Sus scrofa: one gene and its partners. The protein of the gene in region 1 purifies or fractionates together with the protein of each later gene. This does not show direct contact. Links are inferred from orthologs where the notes say so. Each region holds a gene or a part of one and is shown in the gene's direction. Other genes may lie near its edges. The genes, in order: UBR5, ATMIN and CEP78.

What was found.
Region 2: the proteins of UBR5 (region 1) and ATMIN purify together in Homo sapiens (affinity purification with western blotting; 3 studies listed by BioGRID). This does not show direct contact. The link is inferred for Sus scrofa from reciprocal best matches to the Homo sapiens genes UBR5 and ATMIN.
Region 3: the proteins of UBR5 (region 1) and CEP78 purify together in Homo sapiens (affinity purification with western blotting; 3 studies listed by BioGRID, with this or other methods). This does not show direct contact. The link is inferred for Sus scrofa from reciprocal best matches to the Homo sapiens genes UBR5 and CEP78.

Annotation. Positions count from the first base shown.
Region 1 is NC_010446.5:34,761,021-34,764,673, forward strand, and holds part of UBR5 (E3 ubiquitin-protein ligase UBR5), read left to right. Parts: intron 1-930; coding exon 931-1,054; intron 1,055-1,658; coding exon 1,659-1,770; intron 1,771-2,754; coding exon 2,755-2,886; intron 2,887-3,259; coding exon 3,260-3,517; intron 3,518-3,653. UniProt on the Homo sapiens protein: E3 ubiquitin-protein ligase involved in different protein quality control pathways in the cytoplasm and nucleus. Mainly acts as a ubiquitin chain elongator that extends pre-ubiquitinated substrates.
Region 2 is NC_010448.4:7,209,488-7,213,240, reverse strand, and holds the end of ATMIN (ATM interactor), read left to right. Parts: coding exon 1-1,729; 3' UTR 1,730-3,729; downstream 3,730-3,753. UniProt on the Homo sapiens protein: Transcription factor. Plays a crucial role in cell survival and RAD51 foci formation in response to methylating DNA damage. Involved in regulating the activity of ATM in the absence of DNA damage. May play a role in stabilizing ATM.
Region 3 is NC_010443.5:231,087,575-231,091,227, forward strand, and holds part of CEP78 (centrosomal protein of 78 kDa), read left to right. Parts: intron 1-727; coding exon 728-902; intron 903-3,341; coding exon 3,342-3,455; intron 3,456-3,653. UniProt on the Homo sapiens protein: Centriole wall protein that localizes to mature centrioles and regulates centriole and cilia biogenesis. Involved in centrosome duplication: required for efficient PLK4 centrosomal localization and PLK4-induced overduplication of centrioles.

The DNA of each region.
Region 1 (3,653 bases):
GCCTCTTAACATGCTTTGTAATTCACTGTCTCTGTAAAATTACCAGTTACTTACATTTCTAATATTAAACAGCAGTTGAGACTAATACTCTATTAATTTGAAAACAGAGTGGCTAAGTTGACTTTTTACGTGTAACTAGTTTAATTCTGATTTTTCAGAGCAGCCGAGGTGAGGCAAGAACACTGTCAGTGTCAACTCTTAAAGATCCTTTAACGTCTTTTGGTCTGTTTCTTAATTTGTAAACAAAGAATAAGAGGTCACAGGGTTGTTTTACAACCATCTTCTGATCTCTGACCTTCATTTTAAACTGCGTTCTCTGGTTCTTCCTTTTGTTTTATATTGGAGGAATCTGTCCTTTCTTGGCTGTTCCCGAGTCCAATTTTTAGGGGAGTACAACAATTTAGGCACCCCATCTTTTGTTACGATTCTATTTTAAAATCATACTTTTGAACTTCTTTTCTTCCCCACACCCATCAGCAAGTCAGTGGTTAATAAGCCGGTGCAAAGTAGGTCATGGTAGTCAGGTCTGTTAAAGGTAGGAAGCACACTTTCTCATTAGTGGATAAATGCTGCTCTTGGAGCCTTCAAAAGTTGAAGACTACTGGTGTTAAATGCAATAGAAAAGAAAAAAATCTTCCCTGAAGAAATATTGTAGTGGAAAGGACTCAGAAAAGTATGTGCACTAACGCAAATCGGAAGTGACTTCCTAAAGAGTAAAAATAATTCTGAGTTTTATCAGTTAAAAAATCTCTGTGGTCAAATAATTTCTCTGGGATTCATATTTTCGGATAGACCGTAGATTAATTATTGCCGGTTTGCAAGAAGTTTCAAAATAGCATCCTAGCCAGTGAATCACACTGAGTAACACTGGGAAGCGTCAAGGTCTAGCTGTGTGTGGCAGCAGGATGCTCATGACCTGATTCCTTACAGCTCCAGCCCGTCTCAGTCGTCCTACATCATCCGGAATCCACAGCAGAGGCGCATCAGCCAGTCACAGCCTGTTCGGGGCAGAGATGAAGAACAGGATGATATTGTTTCAGCAGATGTGGAAGAGGTGGTTTCATTGTTTTGATTGTGGTAGATGAGGCTTTTATTTGGGAAGGAAGGGGAGAGTAGTCACTAGAAGTGTTATTACGAGGAGCTTACGGCTGCTACGTGTTTATGCTTCCACCTTTTAGACTTTTATTATATGTTCTTATATGTGATTATGCATCTTTAAATTTTTTAATAATCCTTGATTTATTGGATAATAAGTTAGAAAGGTAAACTTGTTCTACTTGAGGGTTCACAGAAAAGCTATTCTCAGTGGTAAAAGATTTTAGTACTTTTGTGCAAAGTATTTGATGGTGGAGAGGAATCTGCATGTTTATTATGTAAATTTTGTAATTGCAAAAGTTTAAAAACGCATACCCTCCCCCACACAGTTGTACTTTTAATTTTAAGGTTCTGTGTATGGACCGTAATCATAAACTGGGACATGCTACCATAATATTTGAGAGCAGATTGTCGCCAGCAAATGAAAATTTTCAGAACTGCTTACAAATTGCCTGTAGTTAGGCATCTTTGAATTTTAGTTTACTAAATGCTCTGGAGGACTACTGGTAGAGATGTGGGTTTATTATGTACTTTGATTGTCTACAAATAAGATCTGGATTTAGGTTGAGGTGGTGGAGGGTGTGGCTGGCGAAGAGGATCATCATGACGAACAGGAAGAACACGGGGAAGAAAATGCGGAGGCAGAGGGACAGCACGATGAGCATGATGAAGACGGTATGCAGGTTATTTGAGAAATTCCTCAGTATGAGAGGTCAGGTACCCTTAAGAAGTCTTAGTACAGAGAAGAGCTGTAGTTGATGTATAATGAAATGTTCAATGTATTTTCTGCCAGGGGATTCTGTAGTATCTGTCGGAATTTTAGAAGGTAGCTGTATACATACGTGCATGTAAATCTATTTGCTTTTATATATTTACATGTACAAAATAATTTATCCCATTTTCCCTTTGCCTTTTGGTTTACACTTTCTATTTTCTTAAAAGGCTTTCAGAAACTAAAATAATCATAACCACATAGTATTTGAAGATTAGAGAAAAGGAAAACTTATGACCCACAATCCCACCCACATGCTAACACATTGTGTCATTACTTTCAGTCCTCCCTGTATTGCCCCCATTCCCACTCACATCTCCTAGATACAGGGTGTATAAATTCTGTTACGATTATCATTTTGGCCTTTTTGCTATGCAGTCATCATAACCATTCTTACTAGTAGCCGTAGGACAGACTTTTCGGGATCAGTTTTATGGAGGTGGAATTGACATACCAACATGTATGGAATAAACTACACATGTTGGGAAAATTTATAATTTTATCTGTTTTGACGTGTGTATACTGTGAAATACAAAGGATACATATTTTAAACCCCCTTCTGCTCTTGGAATCCCAGTATGTAAAACAAATGAAAATGGAGGGGCGGGCCTAACCCAGAGCTCCGCCCACTGGCTGAAGTCCCCTTGCCTAACATTGCATAAGGCTGTACAAGCCAGACTTTGAATCTGTGTCCACTGAGTACCATAGTTTACGTAATCATTATTCTTCTGCTACTCAGGTACTTATCACTTCTCTTGGATACCCCCCGCCATCCCCTCACCGAGCCACTAGTTCCCAACCTTATAATATTCTGGCTTATCAAACCCTGTCTTGATCCGCAATGAGTTGTACCATTTTTTTCCTTATTATTTAACTATATTTGCTAGGGAGTGACATGGAGCTGGACTTGTTAGCAGCAGCTGAAACAGAAAGTGACAGTGAAAGTAACCATAGCAATCAAGATAATGCTAGTGGGCGTAGAAGTGTTGTCACTGCAGCAACTGCCGGCTCAGAAGCAGGTAGGTCCTTATCCTAGCAACTTTCGTGCTTACACTGAGGCTATGGTGTAGAATTGGTTAGACTGTGCTCAGTATGATATGCACGAGGGTGGCTAACCCTTTTAATAACTTCATCCCTTTGTTGATATTAGTGAAGGTTAATATTATTTCAATGATTCTTTCTCTTTTGCTTTTCTGGTTTTTAAATAATAATATTTTTAAGTTTCATTCAAAACAGTTCTAGTTCAACTATTTTAATGACGGGTTTTGTGGACTCTTGGATGCAGTCTTGCCATTCTATTTAATACGTGTATTTTCCTGAATGAGGGGGTACACTGTAATTTTAAATGTCAAATTCACAACAGTTTTGGTTTTAAAAATAAAAAAAATTTAGGTGCGAGCAGTGTTCCTGCCTTCTTTTCCGAAGACGATTCGCAATCAAATGACTCAAGTGATTCCGATAGCAGCAGTAGTCAGAGTGACGACATAGAACAAGAGACTTTTATGCTTGATGAGCCACTAGAGCGAACCACCAATAGCTCCCATGCCAACGGTGCCGCCCAGGCCCCCCGTTCCATGCAGTGGGCTGTCCGAAACACCCAGCATCAGCGGGCAGCTAGCACAGCCCCTTCCAGCACATCCACGCCTGCAGGCAAGTCTGAAAACTTGGTATTTCTAAGAGTGCTTAAATAGGTTTTAAAATAATGCATGTTCCTGTAGAGAACAAAGTAGTTTCGTGATAGTTGTTTTGCTGAGTTCAAATACAAAAATTATTTACATATGCTTAC
Region 2 (3,753 bases), on another chromosome or scaffold:
CCAACCAACCCCTAGGCCAGACACTCAAGAACTAGAAACCTCAGAAATAAAGCTGGCGGCTTCTTTCGAAGACTCTTGCAGCACTAATGCCAGAAAGCAGACTCTGACACCACCTCCAAGGTATCCTCAGAAGTTGCTTTTACCAAAGCCCAAAGTGGCCTTGGTAAAACTCCCCGTTATGCAGTTTTCTCCTGTGCCTGTCTTTGTGCCTACGGCAGACTCCTCAGCCCAGCCTGTGGTGTTGGGTGTCGATCAGCAGGGCGCTGCCCCCAGTGCTGTGCACTTACTGCCCTTGTCCATAGGGACCCTGATCCTCGGCCTGGATTCAGAGGCCTGCTCTCTCAAGGAGAGCCTCCCTCTTTCAAAAATTGTAAATCCTGTTGCTGTTGAGCCAGTTAGCACAGGTGTTCAAGTGAACTTGGGTAAAAGTCCATCGAACCCTTTACAAGAACTAGGGAGCCCCTGTCAGAAGAACAGCATCTCTTCAATCAACGTACAGACAGATCTGTCTTACACCACACAACCCTTTATACCTTCTCCGCAGTGGGCTAGCCCTGATTCCTCTGTATCGTCTTGTTCTCAAACTGATTTGACGTTTGGCTCTCAAGTTTCCCTTCCCATTAGTGTTCATACGCAGACTTTTTTGCCCAGTTCTAAGGTGACCTCATCTATAGCTGCTCAGACTGATGGGTTTATAGAGGCCTGTTTCCAGCCGGGTGGGATCTCCAGAGAAACTCAAACCAGTGGAATGCAAAGCCCGGCAGATGCTCGAGAACAGATGGACCAAGCTGTAATGTGTGGAGACATTTTTGAGAGTGTCCATTCATCATATGGTGTTTCTGCAGACAATATTATAAGCAGCAGCCTAGTAGCAGAGACTGTAACTCATGGTTTGTTACCTCAGAACCACCCCAAAATTTTGAGTCAAGATATTGAGAAATCTGCACCAATTATAAACTTTAGCACACAGAATAGTTTGCTTCCTTCACAGAACATGACAGATAATCAGACCCAAACCATAGATTTACTAAGCGACCTAGAAAACATCCTGTCAAGTAATCTGCCTGCCCAGACATTGGACAATCGTGGTCTTTTGTCTGACGCAAATACTGGACCTGACACCCAGCTCCCATCTGGCCCAGCCCAGAATCCTGCAATTGATTTTGATATCGAAGAGTTCTTTTCAGCTTCAAATATCCAGACCCAAACTGAGGAGAGTGAGCTTAGCACCATGACCACTGAGCCAGTCTTGGAGTCGCTGGACATAGAGACCCAAACTGACTTCTTGCTGGCAGACACCTCTGCCCAGTCCTACACTTGTCGGGGAAACTCTAACTTCTTAGGCCTTGAAATGTTTGACACACAGACACAGACGGACTTGAACTTCTTTTTAGACAGTAGCCCTCATCTGCCTCTGGGAAGTATTCTGAAACACTCCAGCTTCTCCATGAGTACCGATTCGTCTGACACAGAGACCCAGACTGAAGGAATCTCTGCTGCTAAAAACATCCCTGCTCTGGAAAGCAAAGTGCAGTTGAACAGCGCAGAAACACAAACCATGAATTCTGGCTTTGAGACTTTGGGGAGCTTATTCTTCACCAGCAATGAAACGCAGACAGCAATGGATGACTTTCTTCTGGCCGATTTGGCCTGGAACACGATGGAATCTCAGTTCAGCTCTGTAGAAACCCAGACGTGTGCAGAACTGCACCCGGTCTCCAACTTCTAAGGGTGGAGTCGGCGTGGGGACTGGCATTTGCACCTCCCCTCTGGCTTTAGGGAGGGAGAAGGGGGACAGCAGTATTAACTCTACTGAATGTAGTTGATGATCCAGTTACTTCGATTCTTTGAGGTTCTTTGCCTTTTGTACTTGTAAACATGAAATTTGTGTAAAAACCTGTGAGTATTATAAAGTGTAAGATGTTGATCTCAAAATGATTGTTTTTGTGTCGCCTACATTTGCCCTTTCAGTGTAGTCTTCCCTTCTTTTAAAAAAAAATGTATTTCATACCTTTAAAACCCATCTAGCTGTTCAGCTGAAGCCAAGCTCACCAGGACTAGGGTACAAACTTTTCAAATCTTCAAAACATTGTAGTTCAAAGTATGACTTAAATTGCACCTAAAATATTTTTTGCCAGTGCTTGTTAGAAATTCCTGTTTCACGGTAATACCTAAAGATATCTGATGCTGCACCATCAGATTGAAACACCAGCGCTTAGATGGTTTGAGACTCGTGTCGCCTGCAGCTTCATCTGCTGTGCCATCTTACTCTTCCCCAGTTTGAAGACAAAAGGAAAGCTCCAGTTGTCTTTAGCGCCTGCCAGTTTTCCTCTAGTCAGTGCCATCCTTCCTCTACATGCACCGTTACCGATGCCGCTGTACGTATATAGTACTTTCCTCACAGGAGGTGTCGCTGTAAAATATTTGCTTCAGGAAGTAGCGGCAAGCACTTAGTATAAACAGCGATCTTTCTAGTCTGAACGACAGTACGTCACCGCACTGTGGCAAGGCTGGGCCTCGGGACCATGCCCGTTGGCTCTCACTGGAGTGTGCCCTACGAGCGCCCTCCTCTTCCTCCCACAGTCGGCCGACCAGTGACTCCGAGTGTGGTCACTCTAAATGTTAAGAGGAAAAAATGTCTGGAGAAAAGGACATTCCCCGCTAAATTTCAGTACTTGGCGTGAACCTGACAGGGCAGGAGTGCAGTCGACAGTTGTGTCAAAGTGAATCTTGTCATCCACCTCTCACTTTTTCCTTGAGTGAGGAAACACACTGGTCTCGCAAGGACAGTGTTTGTGCCTTGAGGATAGCAGTTAGAGTCTAGAGCCGTCTAAGCTATGGCGTTTTGCATTTTGTCGTTCCAAGGGGGGAATACCATCCAAGAAAGTGAGGTGAAGACTGACGGCTTCGGTAATCAAGAACATGTGTGTTTTGAGATGGATGTGTGATCAGGTCTGCTTTGGGGGGTTATTTAGGACATCCTGAGTTCTCGATTGTTGGCCAACTTCCAGGCAAGTAGAAATCAGTGAAGCCTGTAAACTTTTCTAAGTTTATCGCAAAAAAAATGCTGTGTTCCTTCTGTGGCATGTGCTTCGCTGCTGAAGGCTAAATCCTCAAAAGAAATAAAACGAAGGAGGGGACTAAGAATTCGTTAAAGTAAATCAGTGGTGTTGCTACTAATTCCTGTCCTCAAGAATTGTGGGTACTGGATAAGTGACATCTCCTGCACAGACGAACTCAACCTGGTAGATGAAAGCTTGCTTTGGTCACAGTTGCCTACGAATATGGGTTTCCAAACAAACATAAAGCCTTAACTTAGAATTTCATTATGTTTTAGAATCATCACTGCCTTAATGTTCAAACATCTATTTAAGTTCTCCTGCTAAAGGAGAAATGCATGTTTGTTGATGGCTTTTTGTAAATAGATACGCAGCGATCTATGGCTTTAAATTTCTTGTGTGTTTCTGTGACATTGTTTGTTAATCCAGCCTATTGAGTTATTTACAGAAAAATGGAGCATGTAATATTCATGTACAAGTAAGAACTGTCTCCCCAAACCTTAGTTACCTGAATTGTTCTAAGATTATTTGTAAAAGCTGAAACTCAGTGATTAAAAAGTGAGAATTCTACCCATTTTTGCGAATTCTTCAACATACTCATAATGTGACTGACTTTGTGGCCTTAACGTTTCATAAACTGATCATGTTCTGAAAGTTACATGATGAAATGACAATGCCTAGTTATTTTCATTAT
Region 3 (3,653 bases), on another chromosome or scaffold:
ACTCTTTATCATTTGAAAAATATCTGTGTAGGAGTTCCCTCTGTGGTACAGTGGGTTAAGAGTCCAACTGCAGCGGCTCGGGTCACTGTAGAGGCACAGGTTTGATCACTGGTCTGGCACAGTGAGTTAAAGGATCCAGAGTTGCCACAGCTGTGGTATAGGTTGCAGCTGCTGCTTGGATTTTATCCCTGGCCCCAGGAACTTCATATACCATGGGTGTGGCGTAAAAAACTTTTTCTAAAATAAAAAATATTTGTGTAGTTTACAGTGTACATAAAGCATATGTATAGAATTTCATTTATATAACTTATTAATAAATAAGATACATGTTAAAATGTTTACTTGTGGGATACCCAGCCAAGTGTTTGGAGACCGTTGGAGGACAGAATAATAAAATTTAGAGCCTCAGTAATAAAATTTAGAGCTAATTCCCTGATTTGGCAGATTAAGAAAATAAAATTCATGGACTAATTGAGTTGTCAAAGTTTACGTAACTAATCAAAAACAGGTCCTCCAGTGGCTAGAGTCTGATCATTGGCAGACTGGAATTTGGGTCACTAGGCTCCTAAGCCAGAATTGACTGTTTTAATTTCTCAGGTTGACTCTCCTGGCATATATACTTGGAATGTGTATATTAGTCTCTGTCTGACATAAGAAGCAATAGTCAGTAGGCATACTCTTTTTCCCTCTTCAAGCATCTTAATTTCATCCTATTAAATCTTTGAAGTATCAGACCATCAGAAGGCATGAAGAAACATGGGCTGAGAGTCTTCGTTACAGGAGACCTGATCTTGACTGTATGGCTGGTTTGAGGCGAATCACCCTGAACTGCAACACGCTCATTGGTGACCTTGGTGCAAGTGCTTTTGCAGAATCTCTTAGTGAGGATTTATGGCTTAGAGGTAAATTCTAAAATTGAAAATATTGAATATAATAAATATGCTTAAGTTTTGGCATGATGCTGTTATCATAGGATTTTTTTCAAAGCCTCATTTTTCCAGTGGCCTTCATTTTGCTTTTATCTACTAATTGCATATATTCTTTATAGAAAACAGAGAGTAACAAGAAAACAGTTACCTATAATCTTAATACCCAGACATAATCACTGTTCACTTCGGTGTATATATTTTCAGCCTTTTTTTTCCTGTAACTATATTTGTACACTTAGGGATTATGAAAAAAGAATTGTAGTGTACTTAATATTTCATATCTCTGCTTTTTTCCTTTAATGATGTTATATAGTATTCCATTGTATCAATGTCCTGTAGTTTAATCAGATCTTTGCAGCTTGCTTTTCCCTGTCAGAAAACAATGTGAATACATTATATATACATCTCTGTCCGTAGGGATTAATTCTATAGAATAAGTTACTGTAAGTGGAATTACTAGTGTGATATACTTTTTCTTTTTTGGCTGGACTGCCACCCAGGCTGTTGCAGTGACAATGCCAGATCCTTAACCTGCTGAGCCACAAAGGAGCTCCCATAAGTGTGATAGACTTTTAAGACATTTGATACATGTTGCCAAATTGCCGTCCAGAAATGCCATGCCAGTTTATAGTCTATCCCAACAGCGTATGTGAGGCCTGAGCCCTCACAGACACTGGTTTATGGCACTTTCAAATACTGGAAAACTGCAAAAATGAGTACCTCCACCTTTTTTATGCAAGCAAGATTACTCCAAATTTTATAACTTTTTCAATTAATACAGTATGAGCATCTTAACAAGTCAATAAATTTATATCTACTACATCATTTTTAGTGACTGTTCAGTGTTCCATTGTATGAATATGCCATAGTACGCTTAGCTTAGCCATTCTAAATAAGCTAAGTCCAGTTATAAACAGTGCTCTGATACACATCCTTGTCTACATCTCTGATCATTTCTTTTGGCTGAATTTTTAGAGAGTTGTGGATCAAAAGGATGTATGTGGGAGTTCCCATTGTGGCACACTGGAAACGAATCTGAGGATGAGGGTTCAATTCCTGGTCTTGCTCAGTGGGTCGGGGATCTGGTGTTGCCCATGACCTGTGGTATAGGCCACAGATTTGGCTCAGATCCTGCATTACTGTGGCTGTGGTGTAGGCCAGCATCTGTAGTTCCGATTTGACCCCTAGCCTGGGAATTTCCATGTGGCTTGGGTGTGGCCCTAAAAAAGCAAAAGGGTATATGCATTTTTAAGGCTTTTGTTACGTAGTCTTGGCGTAATCTGATAGAATAAGCACATTTTATTATATTTTGTATTCATTTGATTAATTATTAAGATTTACTGGCTCGTTTTCTTTAATTTGGTTGTTTGGTTAATTATATCCTATGTCCATTCTTCTGTAGTGAAAGTTTTAAGTTTTGTAAAATGTTCTGTCAGAAATCTACATCTGACTTGCTATCCTGTATGTCATGGGGTTTTGAAAGACTCTGGTTATTTTAATGTAATAGTATATACAACACTTTTTAAAAAAGACTTGCAGTCATTTCCTTTTATGTAATAATTTTTATACCTGTGTTTTTGTGATGATCCCTTTAGTTTAAACAAGTAGCTTGTTCAGCCCCCAAACTAGTAGAATTCATGATCATTTGTTCTGTTTTTTGGCCTGATCTTTCTTTTTCCTTTCAAAACTTTATAAGCCTTTGTTTTAATTTTTTATTATTTTTTGATTTTTTGGCTGCGACAGTGGCTTAATATGGGATCTCAGTTCCCAGACCAGAGATTGGCTGCAGGAGTAAACCACCAGAGGACTCCCTGTCTAACCTTTTCTGGAAAGAGTCCTTGACCATCATTCTGTCATGATAGGTTTTTAGCATATATTCTCTCTTCACACATTCTTTGGATTGGTATCCTCTTGACTTCTTCGTCTTTTTTGTTCTAAAACTAAAAGCTATTGTGTTTCTTCTATTTTGTTTTCCTCTTTTAACTAGTTTCAAGAGTAGTTTGGAGCTCTAGATCATGATCAAAAGAATACAGTGCAATTTCTGAGGTCTATCATTTTTGCCTGCGAGGTGTACACTGCTACTCCCACCCTTGCTAATTATGTAGTGAGATTGATTTTGTGATGTTTTTCACTCATAGGATATATGAAGTTATTCTTCAGTTCTGTAACTAAAATATGTGGGTGATTTATTAGTACTAAAGGGAGGGTAATCATGAATTCAAGAATAGTTTTTCAATTGGGTTTTGCATTATGTTATGCATGTGCTTTTCTCTTTTTTTCAATATCCGAAAATTAAAAAGCCTGCCGTATTTGGTCTTGTGCAAGACTCTTCCACATTTGAATAAGTGAGCATTGTCTATCTGTATAGATCTGTATAGAGTTAGCAAGTAACGTTTTATCTCTCATCTAAAGCCCTTGACCTGCAGCAGTGTGGCCTCACCAATGAAGGAGCAAAGGCTTTGTTAAAGGCCCTTGAAACAAATAGAACTCTGGTTGTTCTGGATATAAGAAAAAATCCTCTTGTTGGTATGTGGTCTCTCTTTTTTTTCTATTGATTAACAAATAACAAACAAAAAGAATCTGTTCATGTGTTGACAATTTTTAAAGCCTAATGTGCTTAATTTTCCTAACTTAATACACTTGATCCTTGAACCACATGGGGGTTAGGGTGCTGCCCCCCAGACGGTTGAAAATCCAGGTATAACTTCACAGTCAGTAGTTCAG